Linked DNA regions of Nothobranchius furzeri. The protein of the gene in region 2 binds, or shares a complex with, the protein of the main gene of each other region. Links are inferred from orthologs where the notes say so. Each region holds a gene or a part of one and is shown on either strand. Other genes may lie near its edges. The genes, in order: strap, snrpd1 and lsm3.

The links.
Region 1: snrpd1 (region 2) and strap share a complex: the UniProt entries of both Homo sapiens proteins name them as parts of the SMN-Sm complex. The link is inferred for Nothobranchius furzeri from reciprocal best matches to the Homo sapiens genes SNRPD1 and STRAP.
Region 3: snrpd1 (region 2) and lsm3 share a complex: the UniProt entries of both Homo sapiens proteins name them as parts of the U4/U6-U5 tri-snRNP complex. The link is inferred for Nothobranchius furzeri from reciprocal best matches to the Homo sapiens genes SNRPD1 and LSM3.

The regions. Positions count from the first base shown.
Region 1 is NC_091741.1:63,715,685-63,721,270, reverse strand, and holds the start of strap (serine-threonine kinase receptor-associated protein), read right to left. Parts: upstream 3,340-5,586; 5' UTR 3,045-3,339; coding exon 2,933-3,044; intron 1,580-2,932; coding exon 1,444-1,579; intron 636-1,443; coding exon 554-635; intron 291-553; coding exon 218-290; intron 1-217. Other genes in the region: cog5 (conserved oligomeric Golgi complex subunit 5), read left to right, coding at 5,428-5,467. UniProt on the Homo sapiens protein: The SMN complex catalyzes the assembly of small nuclear ribonucleoproteins (snRNPs), the building blocks of the spliceosome, and thereby plays an important role in the splicing of cellular pre-mRNAs.
Region 2 is NC_091759.1:18,894,070-18,899,133, forward strand, and holds snrpd1 (small nuclear ribonucleoprotein Sm D1), read right to left. Parts: upstream 2,940-5,064; 5' UTR 2,816-2,939; coding exon 2,802-2,815; intron 2,257-2,801; coding exon 2,180-2,256; intron 1,847-2,179; coding exon 1,646-1,846; intron 1,373-1,645; coding exon 1,296-1,372; 3' UTR 1,071-1,295; downstream 1-1,070. Other genes in the region: gamma-glutamylcyclotransferase, read right to left, coding at 458-574. UniProt on the Homo sapiens protein: Plays a role in pre-mRNA splicing as a core component of the spliceosomal U1, U2, U4 and U5 small nuclear ribonucleoproteins (snRNPs), the building blocks of the spliceosome.
Region 3 is NC_091743.1:73,197,122-73,202,707, forward strand, and holds lsm3 (U6 snRNA-associated Sm-like protein LSm3), read right to left. Parts: upstream 3,244-5,586; 5' UTR 3,178-3,243; coding exon 3,157-3,177; intron 1,956-3,156; coding exon 1,845-1,955; intron 1,399-1,844; coding exon 1,303-1,398; intron 955-1,302; coding exon 874-954; 3' UTR 365-873; downstream 1-364. UniProt on the Homo sapiens protein: Plays a role in pre-mRNA splicing as component of the U4/U6-U5 tri-snRNP complex that is involved in spliceosome assembly, and as component of the precatalytic spliceosome (spliceosome B complex).

The DNA.
Region 1 (5,586 bases), on a different chromosome or scaffold from region 2:
AAAGGAAAAAGTGTTGGCTCACATCTAGTATTCTTTTGGTGTGCGTGTGTGTGTGTGACTGAGTGGGTGGGTAAGTAACTCCACTAATGTTTATGATTAGTGTAAACCATATTTCTTTAATTAAAACCCATAGTAACTCTAAACACAGCAATCTGATGTCTATGACCTGTTCAGAAGTGTTTGGCCCCGCCTTCTAGCCAGCAGTGTGTAGCCTTACGTGCTTCAGGTTGGCTGAGGTCATAAATACGCAGCAGCTTGTCATTTCCTGCTGTTAGCAAACAGTTGCTGTCCTGTGGAATAGAAAAAGAAACCCACAAGTGTTTTATTTTGTAAGGATGTGAACAATGATTAGCTGAGGAGATGTGTTTAATCAATCATCAGATTAATCCATGTGTTGAACAAATTATTCACTTGGTAACTAAAAATAGGTGTGAGCCCTGGAGGCTCCCACTTTTTGATCTTGGTGTTGGTGTACAAAGGCATCTGTGAAAAAAATGAGCAGTAAAATACCTGAATTAACATATGAAGGATGCTGATGCTAAGCAAAACTGACCTGAGTGAAGTTGACAGACTTCACAATGTGCTTGTGTGCCAGTGAGAGGACCTCGTCTCCACTTACGGCATCCCACACCTTCCTGGAAAGCAAAATGTTCACCATTATAGATTTATAGTAGCCTGGCAAGCCATCCTATATGCACAATTATTTTGCTTCGACAAATGACTGTCTTCTAGATTCTAGGCTAGATGTATAGTAGTTTATCGAATAAATGAAACTAAACATTTAATAGAAAACACGTAACAGAAACAAAGAAAGGTTGGTTTTCTTTTTTTTTAAAACACATGCAAAACAGATCGTTTTTCTTCACCAGGACTTTGAGGATGCTGCTGGTGGGAATTTTAGCATGATTTAAACACGTTTTTTTTTTTTCCTGAAATGTTAAAATTAAGAGTTACTCTGAAAACAAGATCATTTTTATGACACAAGGTGAGATCTTGCATGGAGCCCAAGGTTGAGGGAGATTGTGAGTGATCTTGTATTTTTTTTTTCATTTTGTAACAGTTGATCTTCTTTCACCTAGGTGCACCACTTGCACCAAGTGACTTGCTGTATTTTTCTGTTTTGAGGTTTCTAAGATAACACATAAAGAACAAGAAAAAAGTTAAGAAGCTATGATTTGTCTGGTAAATGGGATAGTGAAATTCTTTTTCAGTGGTTCAGTTTACTTCCTTTTTGAAATATGTATGTCCAACAATCTCAATGAGTCCAAACGCACATTTGCAGAGTGTGTGAGTGAAGGGGAGTAGAAAGAGAATATATTATTAATAAAAGACAACTTGTTTTTACAGCTAAACGTTTTAAGAGTGTTAAAAACAAGAAAAAAGTGCATTTTCCAACAAAATTCAAATCATGCATCTCTACATCGAGAGCTGAACCCCACTCACGCTGTGAAGTCTGCAGCAGCTGTGGCTGCCTTGGTGGCGTCTGTATTCAGAGTGGCTCCCCAAACCGCACCTTTGTGACCCAGAAACGTTCCGATCCAGTCCCCTGTGTCTCCCTGGCGCAACATGGGCTTGCCATCTAACAAAAGGAAGAAGGGGATGGTGATGTACTTGTTAAAACTCCCATGAAAAGATCATTAATATGAACTTTCTCAAGACATTGAGTGGCTTTCAAGCAGCTGGTGTAAAATGTTAAAAATCAGTTTTGTATTAATCTGAGCTGAGAAACTGGGTGTTTCTCAAGGTCAAGGAACCTCGCCTTGATGCCTTGGTCCCAGCCCAGTTGCCTAAGAGATACGTCATCAGGAACCGCCAAGACGTGTTCCAATGTTCATGTGCTACAGAGGCGTCTGTCCTTCGTTTGTCCGCCGTTTAGCTAACTGACTGAGAATACATGGGAGGTGTCTTGTTGCCTTCTCTGACTGAAACATTTCTCAGAATACACCACAGTATTTTCAAATGAATGGCGGATCAGGAGCCGGCAGCTACTTCAGGGGCAAATTTCCAGTTTAAATGCAAGTCAACTAATTGTAGCTATCAGGCTGATATCTGAAATATTTTTTTAGATTCAAAGCAATTATCTATGGTTGGTCAGTTGCTTTGCAGTTGCAGATTCGGTGGCAAGCGGGTAGTAACTTGCTTACATATTTAATTTAACCAATATATACATAATTTAAAAAAGTTAAAGGCTAGTTATACATATATATAAATCTAACTTTACCTCACATGTCACATGACGTGATGGCGGGTCACGTGAGATAAGTCTGTTCCATGTAACCGTTTTCTTTAATCCTTGCAGGACAGTGTCCTCTTAAGCACTGAGAAACAGCCACTGCCTTAAATTATATAGAATGTGTAAAGAGGACCAAACTCAACAAATGTTAAAGCTGCTAGCAGAGGCTTATTAGGGGCACCATGGTAACCATCAGTAGCTTATTACTTTCGCCATGGTATTCACCTTCCCGTTTCCCTCACTCCCTGACAGAACACTTGGTGAGGGTCATATGGCTATTCTGACAGAAAGGGAAGCCTAAGACGAATGGTGATGATTTTACTGTTTTTTTTTTTTTTTTTTTGTAATGGAAGAGAATTTTTCAGGTAAAAATTATCTCCACTTTTTGCTTGGAAACAAGTAGGTGAACACAGAGGAAAACTCCTACACGATGACAAATTTGTATTTATATAAAGTTGTGAAAGAAATGTGATTCTTCAAAGAATGAAACCAGATCGTGAACTGAACACATCTGAGGTGATTCAAGTAATGCAGATAGGATTTTCATAAAAAAAGACATCTGAAATAAATCGTTACAAAGTTTCTTTTGAGGCGCAGGTAAGTCAGGGACCAAAGTGAGAGAAGTCTGTGTGAGTGAGACAGGTAAATGAAGATCCTGAGCAGGGCAGCACCTTGGATTTGGACGGCTTGAGGACTCACCTTTGCAGGCGCTGATGAGGAAGTAGCCAAAAGGAGTGATTCCACTGAAAGCCAGGTCCACCACAGGCCGGGTGTGACCGGAGCAGGTGAGAGGGGTCTGTCTCATCGCCATGCTCCTCCAGCTGGACAGAGGACAGAAGACCGAAAGAGGAAGAGTTAGCTGGTCGCTAACGGCTGGCTTACAAGCTAGGTCGGCTAACCAGTAGCCGAGGAATACGAAACGTCTAATTGGCGCGTTGTTATCAAAGCTGTAACGTCCTGCCGTTGTCTGTTAATTAATCTTTTAACAGCCGAGAATTCAAAGTTATTCTGACCAAATGTCGGCTCTCCCCCAGCAAAAGAATGGCTGTCGTGCTAATAGCTACAACATTGCAACTAACTAGCAACGTGCACTGCAGCGTCACAGTGACAGTGTAGTAAAAGAGTTGACGTAACGTAAGCGTGCGGTGCGACCCGTCGCCGCCATATTGTCAGAGTCATTTGGTAAAGCGCACACAGCTGAAAGCTGAGTCTGATTAAAAGTTCTCGACAGAGATACAACATTCCCGTTCTTCTGGCGAACATATATGACTGTGCGAAGGAGTGGGAGCTGTTTGAGCTGTAGTCTGGAAAACTGGGATTTAAAATTGGAATATTGCAGGAATGAATTGTGCTGCTTTGGAATGAAATAAAGTGGCAGGAAAAATAAAGTTTAGACACAGCAGTATTAGAATATGCATTAATGTAGTCAGTAATAATAATAATAATAATAATAATAATTATTATTATTATTATTATTATTATTAGTTCTCAAAATACATATATCATATTTTCCCGGTATTATAAACAGTCTGATCAGTTTTTCATATTCCCCATTTCATTTTTTTTCTACAGTAGGACTAGCCTGGCCTGCCAGACTCTGTGCAGAATTAAACAGAGGAGGAGTATGGCAGGCCAGGCTACAGTAGAAAACCATGAAGTCAGAGACCCATAATAAGCTTGTTGGATCCAGATTTTACACTTTAAATACAAAATAACCCAGTCTGGTTCTAATCCACCTACTACATTATATCAGGTATTTATTCAGTCTGCTGTTTATGTCTCAAAAACTTTAATTTCAAGGATCAGTGTATGTGACAGTGTGAGTGTCCTGTCACAGTGTCACGATTGATCATGTGCCCTGGCTACTTGACATAGGGGATGTCCTTTTGGCTGACTGGTATGAGTGCGTGACTCTCACCCAGGAGCCTGGGGATCAAATCCCGCCCGGGCCCTCATTTCTCCACCCTGCCACATTTATAACATTGTCTGTGGAGGTAAAAATAGCAATATTCTGTACTGTAGAAATAGAAACACGTATGGATTAATCATCAAATGATTTACATCCTGGTGTCTTCAGGGCAGTGCTCTCTCAATCTCTGGTCCTGGAGCTCTTCCATCCAGCATGTTTTAGTTGTTTCCCTGCTCCAGCACACCTGATTTGATGGCTGATACCAGTTCAGAAGACCATCAAGCCTCTAAGCAGGTCATGTGTATTAATTAATTTAGTTCAAATAGATAAATACAATAAAGTTGTTTCTGCATTAATCTGGCCTTGGAGAAGAGTATAGCACCTATGGGTCTGGCAGAATAAAACAGATGTTCTTCACCGACTTTCAGGTGTGAGAACGGAGAATGCCAGAGTCTGTGAAAATCCCTCCCCAGATGTGTGTGTGTTTATTTATGTGTTTAATAAATATTAGCTTATCTCTCAAGAGTAGTTTTTTTGGGGGGGGGGGGGGGGGGGGGGGGTTCCCACTCGGTGCTAGTATCCCTAGTTCAAAAGTGAGTGTCTCTAAGAGTTACATTGCAATATCCGGACTGTTTTACAAGTGTCCAACAGAAACATGCAATCGCCACACAGTGAAACAATAAAAACACGCTGGATATCGAGGACAAGAGTTGAAGAGCACTGCTTTATGACCTTAAAAAAGTGCTATGTAGCCTACTATCCAGTTTAATAACTTAAACTAGTTTCTGTTTATTTTGATGGGAAGAAAAGGGATTAAATCAAATGGTATGGCCTGTATTTGATATAGCGCCTTCTAGAGCCCTGGAACCCCCCAAGGCGCTTTACAACACAATCAGTCATTCACAGAGGTAGCCATATATATATTCCTTCTAAAATAAGATAAAATAAACAAATGAAATTTAAACCCTAAATCCTGAATTAGATTTAAAAAAATCAAATAATTATCTATAAATCCAAAGATAGAACACATCCACAATTAAACCTATAAGCTTTTAGGGTCCTACCCTACAATTGTAAATTTTTTCTTTTACCAAATGTAGAAGGAGGGTGAGTGTTGATTTTTGCTTTCTATCAGAAAATTTGGATCCCAGAGCTGGTGGTAGCGCATCCCTGTGATCTGCGTGTAATCGGTGCCCGGATGTTGTGGCAGCAGTTCACACTCCGCCCTCTGAGCGGCGAAAGAGCTCCAATTTCACCAGAAGAAGTCTGATCAGGAAGTGCCAACATGGAGGAACAAGAGGCGTCCACAAACCTGCTAAAAGATGGTAAAATACGTTTTTTCAGCAGTAACTGACTCACTTAAAAACAAATGTTGCACCTATGCTTCAGTGTTTAGTTTACGTTGAGTTGCTACACGTTTAAACCTCCTTCATGTCACCATTAC
Region 2 (5,064 bases):
GTTAATAAAGGTTTGTTAAAAAAAGTCAATCACGTGACCAAGCGTAAAAAAACCGGCAAGCCCTGCGAAAAAAAACAAAAAAACACCGGCAAGCACTGAGCGCTGATCACCGGTGATCTAATAACCTGCGCAGAACTGGCTCATCTCGGACACGGCCACTGTCTCGTGCCTCCCGGAAGTGAACTGAACTGGTCATGAAAGTAAATACACTGATTTTCATTAATGAAGTGAAAGTCGGCAGACAATTATAATTTTCGTCACGAGTAGGGTTATTTTATCATTTACATATTTATATATAAGACGCAAGACCCGCTGTTATTAGCCTGACCCGCCAGCCCGTGATCCTTATGGGATTGTAATGGTTCCCTGTGTAGAATTAAACAGGCTAGGCTCTAGCAGGCTAGCCACTGAGCACTAACTTTAGGTGAGAAACTGGCGACATATTTAACGAACAAACCTTCAGGCGACCAGTAGAGACGAACGTAGCCGAAGGGTTTTTCAGCTGCAGCCTTTCCTTTAATAAGTTGCTTCCATACGCGAAGTACAGGAAACGGCCGACGCTAGCCACAGACATTGTGATAAAAATACTCCTGCTCGAAAAGAACCTGGTGCCTTCGACATGTGACGAATATGTTAAAAGATGATCGTTTAATATAAAATAACTAGCTTTGGGCAATGATTTACGTCATTCCACGAACCTCTACGTTAGCCCGGCAAGCCATCCTATAGGCTACCATCTACCAGGTCACTTTTCCTACACCGCCATCTAGCGGTGACTTTGGTCCCCGGTGTAATGTAAAACAACGTTCCCCCACCTACATGTGCAGTTTTACCAATTATCACAACTGATGTGAGAAACTGCACCTAAAAGTTGACTAAATAAACAGTTTTGCTTTATTTTGTCAACTGTAGTGGGATAAAGGTCTGATGACTAAATAATAATTTCATAAAATACATTTTTATTTTAGAGCCTGGCCTGCCAGACTCATCTGTGTAACTTTATACACAAGGAAGCGTGGGGCTGGCTAGTACACCAGTAGCATTGGGATCTGATTGGGACAACACAGTAGTTAATGATGCTAGTTTATGTGCTGACACTTTATTCAGTATTAAAAACCAACACAAAGAAGTCAGAGTAATTTGTCCTCTTAACCAGAAGTTTAATGTACAAAAAAAAAAGTCCAACTAAAAAGCACACAGAAATTCACAAAACGTTTCTGCTTTAATGAAGCAAAGGAAAAAAAAAATCCTGTACAAACAGTGAAGTGTTAGGAATCAACAGAACAGCCTTGCGATCATCTCCTTGGTCCACCTCGTCCCCGTCCCCTTCCTCTCCCACGTCCCCGTCCCCTGCCTCGTCCCCGTCCAGCCACTGAGGAGACAGATGAGCAGCATCAGCACAAGTGTCACAAACACCATATTGCTCATTTAGCATCTGGTCCTTTAAACCACTCCTTAAATTATGTCGTACAGTTAATGTTACAATTTAGTTCTTTTAATATAAACCCATGCAGAAACCTGTGCAAACACACCAGTTACATCACTGTGAAAACCTTTTTGTTCACGCAAAGGAGAATTCAGATTCACTTTCTAAAAAAAACACCTTAAGATAAAATTCAACTCAACATATCTTATGCATTTTCACCTTTCTCACCTGCTTCTCTCTTCTTGGACTTGATCTTTGGCTCGATGTCAACCAGCAAGGTGTCCAGAGGGAGGCTGTCTGGGAGGATGAAGTAGCGAATATTGTTGCCGCGGATACTCAGCGACTCCAGCTGAGTGGGCTCCCTGTTTTTTAGGGTCATTTTTACCGCCTTCAGGTGAGTGTTCATGCTCACATCAACACCTGAAAAACAGAGAGGAGGGATGAAACACCAGCCATAAGTACATCTGGCACTTGAGTTTAGGATTAATTTTACAGATTAGAAAATATTTTAATTTGCAGGTTGTGTGTGTGCTTGTCTAGGGTTTGTTAAACATAAAAAAATCCCATCAAATAGGATTAAATAATACAAAAACATACATTGTGCAGATTTATCTGTACTAAAGTCTGACTATGAGGATGAAAGCACAGCTGTGGGTATTAATCTACTTAATGCATACAAATATATGTCATTAGTATTGAAATTAAAGAGCTTCAGCTGACTCCTGGCTTATCTGACCACCTTTATGAGCTCACCTGTGATGGTGCCGTGAACCTGGGTGCCATTTTTCAGCTCAATGGTTACGGTTTCATGGCTGAGCTTCATCAAAAACCTGTGGGCATCATTGCACACGATGACTGAGTGAAAACATCACAACGTAATTGGGACATTTCTCGCAGAGGCTAGATAGTAGCTTAGCTTTAGCTATCTAGTTAGCCACCGATGGCTATTAGGTGACTTTTAAAGCGTTTGAAACAATAAAAACACTGATTATCCACCAGTTTAACAGCTAAACTAAATATTTACAAAATGAACTCTAACAAATTATGTTAAAACCCCATTTTGAGCCGCTTTAGTTGATTGACAAGCTAATGCTACAACGGTTGAATGAGTTAACGTCTAGCCTAATATTTTTACTTATTGAAATAGAAATGTACTTAAAGTAGACGTTCATCTATGTTGATAATTAAAACTGTGCGTAGGAACGTGTTTTAAACCCTCAGCGGTCGCCGTAACGTCGCTCAGGATCCATTACATTTTTCCACTTCCCGCCTCATCACCGTTTAATCAAATCCCAATCCATCCGGCCACATCACTTTCATTTGATCAGTTTACGTTAATTCTCCGGTTAATCCGGGACCTCCCGCTGCCGCCTACCTGACTAGTTTCATGATGATGGAAAACAGTAGAGAAAAATCCTCCACCGAAGACAAAAATTACAGCGATCGAGTGAAAACACAGGCCGCTGTTGTATTCGAAACGTTCAGGGATGTGACGTCACTAAAAGGCGACAACAAAGACGAGGGGGTGTAATTACCGCCATCTACTGGTGGAATTGTGATCCGTTCTAACACTTTTGTTTTATTTTTCTGTGCAACATGTTTTACAGTAGTGTTAAAATCCACAATCTTTATTTTACTACTAATTTATTGGAATCTGGCAGTTAAAAGGTCAAATATCCAAAACAAAGATCCCTAAATGATCAATATTTAGGAAGATCACTACCGTTACCTACTGCTGGATTCGTGATCTGCAGAATTTGCAACCAAAAGGTCAAAACGGTGTTTATGTGCAACATGTGTTAAAGTCGTAGTAAAATTTACATTTTTACTGATTTATCAAAATCTGGAAGATGAAAAAAGGTAAAATATCCACAACAATTAACCCTAACTGATCAAGACCTAATTCATTCAACAGATCAGGAGACAACTTCAGAGAACTTGTCGCAGTTGAATAAAACCACAAAGCAGCACTTTCAGCTCATTTTATTAAGAGTAAACTCTGCACCGATACTTAAGAGATTTGGCCACACATCAAATCTGTCTTCTTGAGACCTGCTGGGAATGTATCAAGTATAATCAATGAGAGTGCTTTTTTTTATTCCAAAGATGTAGGCTGAGACCAATAAATCATAAAGTGTGAAGCACAAAAAGAAAAACGGCACAAGGCCATTAAACTCAGCATTATTCCACTTCTAATAATAATAAAAATAAATAAAACCGTCATCCTCTCTGTGTGTTGCCTGCACATGATTGACGCAACACGTTATTAATATTCTGGAGCAGAAAAAGTCTCGACTCAGTGCATCTGCTGTTGAACTCTAGAAAAGAAAATCTAATTATGCAGTGGTTTAAAACAGAAGTCATGAAATATTACAGCAGGTGAGCACGTGTTCCTGGAAATCTTTCATGTGGAAACAGATAATGTCCTTTTGGGGTTTCTCTCCACCTTAACCATAGCAACTGAGTAATCGATCTTCAGATCAGCAGTCGTGTTTTATTCTCCTGTAAACGTTACAGCGGGGCTCAAACAGGAAGTCACACGTCCAACAAAATAAAATCAAAGGTCAGCTGGACGTGAACATTCAGATAAAGGGGTTAAACGTCGGGCCGCTGCGCCATGAAATGTTTTAGGCTTTTAAACTTTGATTTAGCGTGTTTAAAAAACAATGTTAACAAATAGAAACTAAAGAAGGCACACACACCAAAAGAAGATCCTCACTATAATAAGGAAGTGATGATAAATGATTTATTTCTAAAGCAGCTAATAAATACGAGTCAAACGATGCTGTAGTGTGAACGCCGATATGCTAAAAGCGTATAAACCTAAAGTGACTGAAAATGAAGGTAAACAGCTCAGAGATGATAAAATGAATTTCGTCGACTTGTGGGCTGCACGGTGGCGCAGCTGTTAGCACTGTTGCCTCGCAGCAAGAAGGTTGCAGGTTCGAAACTCGGCTGCGGCCTTTCTGCGTGGAGTTGCGTGTTCTCCCCGCGCACGCGTGGGTTTCCCCCACAGATCACAACACGCCCTACAAGTTAAATAAATCGTACGTCGCTTTGGATAAAAGCGTCTGCCAAATAAATAAACATAAACTTTTTAAACTTAGTTGACGACTTAAATTGCGACTTTTTTTAGGGGGGAAATCTTGGATTTTGGAGTTTTTTTGCTTAAAAAAACCTATTTGAACGATCGATGGTGGCCTCTGGTAGTCAGGGAACACTTTTAGAAAAACTTGTCTCACGAGCACCGACTCTGATGGAGGGCCCTCCCACCTGCAGCTGGCTGTAAACGTCTGGAGGTTTTAGTGATCAGTAGTGTGTTGGCACCAACGGAACAGGCACGGTGTGCACGAGTTAAGAATAAACTAGTCAGGGGTGGGCCAATGATTGTACGGCGCTAAATGGGCTCTGAGGTTCCAGAGTTTGGCTCGGGTTTGGGTCGGTGTCGTTTAAACCAGGCAGGCTTGGATTTCAGCACCAAAAACGGAGATGGACAGAAAAGTGAGAATAAATAAAAGAGAAGGAGCCATGATGTTCCAGAAGGAACCGTGTCGGATTCGGAAAGCACTCGAACATAACGAGACATCGTGATTAGTGGACAGAGTCAGCAGATCTAGGATCAGTAAACTCCTATTTGA
Region 3 (5,586 bases), on a different chromosome or scaffold from region 2:
CTAGCTGAGATGTGCTCTGCTGTTTCCTGGATGCTAAACCAACTATCTTCCCCATCGTGAGTCCAGATGGGTGAGTCCATGAATGTTAAGTGACAGTGTGACATGGATCTGTCAGGATTTTCTAATCCTAGAGTTTCACTGTCTGTTTTCTATCAGAAGCTAATGCAGGAGATAGGTGTAGGAGACCATTTTCATGTTCAGCCTGCATGAAACACTCAGAGTGACCCATTAGGATCAGAAATATTCATTAAAAAATATTTTCAGTCTTCTACACTTTTAATGTGAAATACCTGTAGGCTTTAGCCTCTACGACTCTGTATGCCAAAAACTGTTGAATAAAAAAAAATTAAATAAAAAGTATAACTTTCTTATTTTCACTTTTTATTCAACCACATAAAAACAAAATTTTCAAACCTGAGCATGACTAAATCATAAAACACTAACGTCATGTAAAAGAAAAAGAATGTTCTGGGACTCAAATGCAATCATTTAGCTAAAAATCAACATAAAAGTTGAGCAATTTAACAAACATTTCGCTCACAAGGGGACCCGAGTCTTTATAAACACTGGAATGACTCAATCGGAACTGATAAGATTCAGAAAAATGTTTTTCTACTAAAAATAATAGTATCTACTGAGGCCGATTCTTACAATCCCAGAATGTGTCAAAAAATAAAAAAAAGTGTCCTCACATCATACTTCCTGGGTTTTTCCCCCCTCAGACATTTTGCCCTAGAGAAGAGCCTCTGATTCACATGAAATTTAAAGATGAAATAACAGTCTAGCATAAGGAAAATGAAGATTTATAACACTCTCCTACAAAAATGGACACTTCCCAGAAGCAGTTACATCATCCTGTCAGGCATGGGGGGCTTAGCCGACTCGGAGAGGCGGAGCTACGAGGACAACGCCGTCTCCTCTGACAAACAACATGGGGATGTTCCTCTTGGTAGACTAAAGAAACAAATACAGTAAAAACATTTAAATAACAGATATTTTATTTAAATACTCACTAAAGTACCGTCAAATTTAAATAAAACTTGAGTTTCTGATCATGAACAATAATGAAACCTCGTAGAATCTTAAAATTCTGTTTTATTACTTTCTGCAGATCTATTCAGCGTTATGTTAAAGTGACAAGTTAACATCGTTTAACGTTTCTGCATCTGATGGATCTTTAAGCATCACCCAACAGTGGCACAAGTTTGCCACTAAGCAAACACAGCAAAGAGTCCAAAACAAAAGCTGTTCAGTAGAAATGTGGCTAGAGAGGTTTTTCTATGTTTGTTCATAAAAACTGACCTTATAAAGTTCTTCATACGTCTCCTCATCAATCTCCACTGTTGTCACCGTCTCCTCCACATCCCCCAGGATCATATTTAAGTGTTGGTCATACGCCTGGACCAGATGGCAAACATTAGTTAGGACATACAGGTGAAACTGGACAAAAGAGAATATGGTGCAAAAGTCCATTTATGACAGTAATCAAGCTCAGATGGAGAGACCATCTACAGGCTCAGGAACCCTCTGCAGGTGTTCTGGATTCATCAGCTGATAAAAGTCTGACACTAGAATATTTACCTGAACACAATATTCTAATTGTCTGAGATTATGAATGTGGGGTTTTCATCAGCTGAATGCCATAATCATCACAAATAAAGGCTGAAATATCTGGGTTTGCGTGGAATGAGTCTGTCTCATAGATTAGTTTCACCTTTTAAGTTGTTTTACTGACATTAGAATTTTCAGTCTTATTTTTTTTACCTGTTTTATCAGCAAGTATTGTGAAAAAACTGGATCTTCTGAACCGTGTGTGTGTGTGTGTGTGTGTGTGTGTGTCGTACATGTAGTCGACCGCGGAGCTCCCGGTCATTCCTCATCTTCACGTAGATCCGCTCATCCAGACTGAGCCTGATCAAATCGAGAGGCTCCTCCACCGTGTTGGTAGGTGGTTGCTGTGGAACACATTAAAATAATCATCAATGTACGGATTCCATTTTTTATTGGCATATTCATCAAATAGCAAACATTTAAAAACAAAACTAGTCGGTTTTTTTACACTCACCGGAAATGTTTTTAAAAATCTAGATTAAAAATATCCAATAGGGATGGACAATATATCGGCATCAATATCGGTATCGGCCGATGTTAGTCATTTTTAAACATATCGGTATTGGTCCCATAAATAAAACCGGGCCGATATTAATTTTTCTATCTCGTCTCCATTTGTTTATCAGTTTCAGAGGGTGAGGGGGGTGATGTGTATTTGTTTAATCATGTGACAGTGATTGTAATCACCTCAGAAGCGTAAATGTGTGTGTTGTGTGTACACAATAATGTAAATCCAGCTTTAATAATTTTCATTCTATATAAAATCTGCAGATTTTGGAAGCATTAATGTCAGTGTATATCGGTATCGGCAAATATCGGTTATCGGCCATAACAGTGATCTTAATATCGGATATCAGTATCGGTCCAAAAATTTATATCGATGCATCACTAATATCCAAACATTGTTTAGCTGAGTCTTTATATTGTTATTTATTCATTTTTGTTGTGTCTGTACAGCTTTGTTAAGGCTTGCCTTTAAAGACCAGGGCTTAGAAAACAAACCATCTGATAGGAAATGTAAAGAGAGTGTGCAGAAGTACTGATCAAACCAATTAAACGTCTCATGACTTATTAACACTATGGTATCTTTGTCACTAATATCTTTATTTTCAATTAAATTGCACATTACAGCTTAGAAATATTCATTTTAAATCATAAACTTTGATCCAAACAGTTTGTTGAGACTCGTTACTTACTAAAGTTAATAACTAAACACAATAGTTAAAGAAAACTCAATATTAATTATTTGTCCAATTTGCTAGACAAACATAACGGGAAAAGTCATTCATTAATCTTTCATTTGTGAGAATCTGGTAACTTTTACGCGCTTACTGATAATTTTAGGATGAGCTGAACGCTAGGTGAATGTGGGCTAACCGGTTTCACAGGCCTAAACACAATTAAACCGTGTTAGCAATTAGCAAAATGCTACGCTTGTATCCTTAGATTAAAGAAATGCATAAAGTTAATAATGCGCGACGAAGTCAAGCAACTGCACAGACGCTAAAACGAACAAAAGTGTATAAACACGGCAACCAAACGAACCTGCTCCACTTCATCCGCCATGATGCTTTAACTGGCCTAGTGCCTCAATGGGCTCTGAGGTCGCAGTCATATATACGTAGACGCCCCGTGGACGGCTGCCGTAGTGGCCGACCGCCATCTTAGTTGGGTCTCCATTCGCCCCCACTGCATTAATTTCTACTTAGGAAGGTGCTTAGCCAACTAAAAAACGCATTTTATCAAGCTTTTTCACAAAAGCTGATACAATATATGGCATGATAATTAAAATATAAATATAATTTAACAAAATAAATTAAAATATATTTAAATATAGAATTCCATGAGGTAGGCTTGTAAAGTTACTAGTAATCCCGCTTGATCTGTTTTCAAATTGTACGCCGGTTGTTGTAACTGTAGGCTGCACATAAACGGGCATAGACCTACAGGTCTCCCATTAGATGTTTAGAGTATCTTGATCTTGATGCTGTGAGGGTCGCTAGAACGGGCTATTTTGCTGACATCATTGATACAAACTGTAACAATTCAAAAATTCTCCATAAAACGCTTAACTCTGTCTCAGTGTACCAGGACTCTGGCATCATTTTTTCTACTGCTGCTGGAGAATGTGATGACTTTCACAACTTTTTCACTAGCAAAGTCTCTGCCATTAGAGCTGCTATTTTTGGTTCATCTACAGACCCTGATCCAGTTACTCCAATACAGTCCACCCTGAGCTATTTTAATACTCTCTTATTCTGAGTTGTCTAAGCTTGTCTCAGGGCAGAAGTCGTCTAGCTCTCCACTCGATGTTTTGCCACCTCGTCTGTGGAAGGAGGCCTTTCCGTGTTTGGGTCAGTCTCTGCGTCTGATCATTAACGGCAGCCTGAGCACTGGAGTGGTTCCAACTGCATTAAAAGCTGCAGTCAGTAAACCGATCCTGAAGAAACCAGAATCTGATGTCTCTGTGCAGACAATTACAGGCCAATCTCTATTCTCCTTTTCAATTTGAAACTTCTGGAGAAGGTTGTGTGTCAGCAGCTTTGCTGAGAGACTGGGTAGGCATATCAGGATCTGCTCTGAAGTGGTTCTCCTCTTATCTGTCTGAGGGTTAGGGTTAGGGTTAGGTGCTTCTCTGTGGCCGTCTCCAAGTTTGGGTCCTCCACCACCTCCCTCGCCCATGGTGTCCCACAAGGTTCTGTGCTGGGCGCTCTACTCTTCCTCCTCTATCTGCTCCCTCTTCAGCACATCCTGAGCTCCTTCAAAGAAATCTCCAACCATCTTATGCAGATGACATCCAACTGTACATCTCCTTTAAGCCCCATGAGATGTCGAAGTTGCAAGAACTTGGCAGTGCATTTCAGAATCACTTGTTTTTCTCCACTGATTTATTGCTTTTAACCATTCATTAGAAAATGTGTGCAGGTGCAGTTTGGGACACATGATTTATTTATTTATTTATTTTTATCCAAACCCTTATGTATGACTCATTGTCTGGTGACAGGACAGGAGCATGGAAACTGGTGGGCTGCTCTGCAAGCTCCATGCCCTTCTGGCTCAGTGATCTGAAGTTCAGCAGATTTCTATAAAAAAGTTCAACAGTGCTGTGAGAAAGTTAAGCATTGTAACGTGATGAAGGAGCTATTCCTCCAAGGTTATTTACTTTCTCTCCACAGATGCCTCTGACACAGTACTAGGCTGCATGACACTGCCTCAAGATCATGCATTCACTTCTAAAACTGTTTTCTTTCCAGCAAGAGAAGAATGAAGATAAAGGACTCTTTTCTTTTAATAAATCAAAGAACTCTATTTTTAATAAAAGCTAATCAAAACAAAGTGTTAGTCAATAATATAATGTTGACCAATCTGTGAAATAATAATGTTAAGATTAATATGCTTTAATAAGTAATATGACTTTAATCTAGTGCACTAGACATGCTGACTACACATAATGTAAATGCATGGCACATTGCTGTTACTGATTCAGTCAGAACCTTCCTTTCTGAAGCGTGGCATAGTCTCTGTGGTGTTTATAAATCTGCCAGCTTTGATTCGACCAGAAATCAAAACATCCAGATTAATAAAACCAGTTCCAACGCCATCTTAGTTCAGTTCTCAAGCTCTCACTGGAGTTCACCGCATGCTAAGCGAAGTATCGGACCGGCCATCCGGACTTCCTTTTTAAGCCGAGAACCAACAAGCTGGATAAAATCTGTTGCATTTTACCAACCAAGCAACAGTTCCTTTGAGAATAAAAGCTGAACTCACTGACCCTAGGGGGGTCCATTTGACGCTGTCAACCAACTGTCGCTTTTTACCTGGAGACAATCCAAAGACTAGTTTGTCGTACTGCTGACGCTGTTTCATCGGCTCCAGTACCGAAAGGGGGGTCCGAGGACCTGGCGATCTGGATCTGTACGGAGGTCTCATCAAGGGTATGTGTGGAGCGACAAATATGGCGTCTCATGTGTTTAT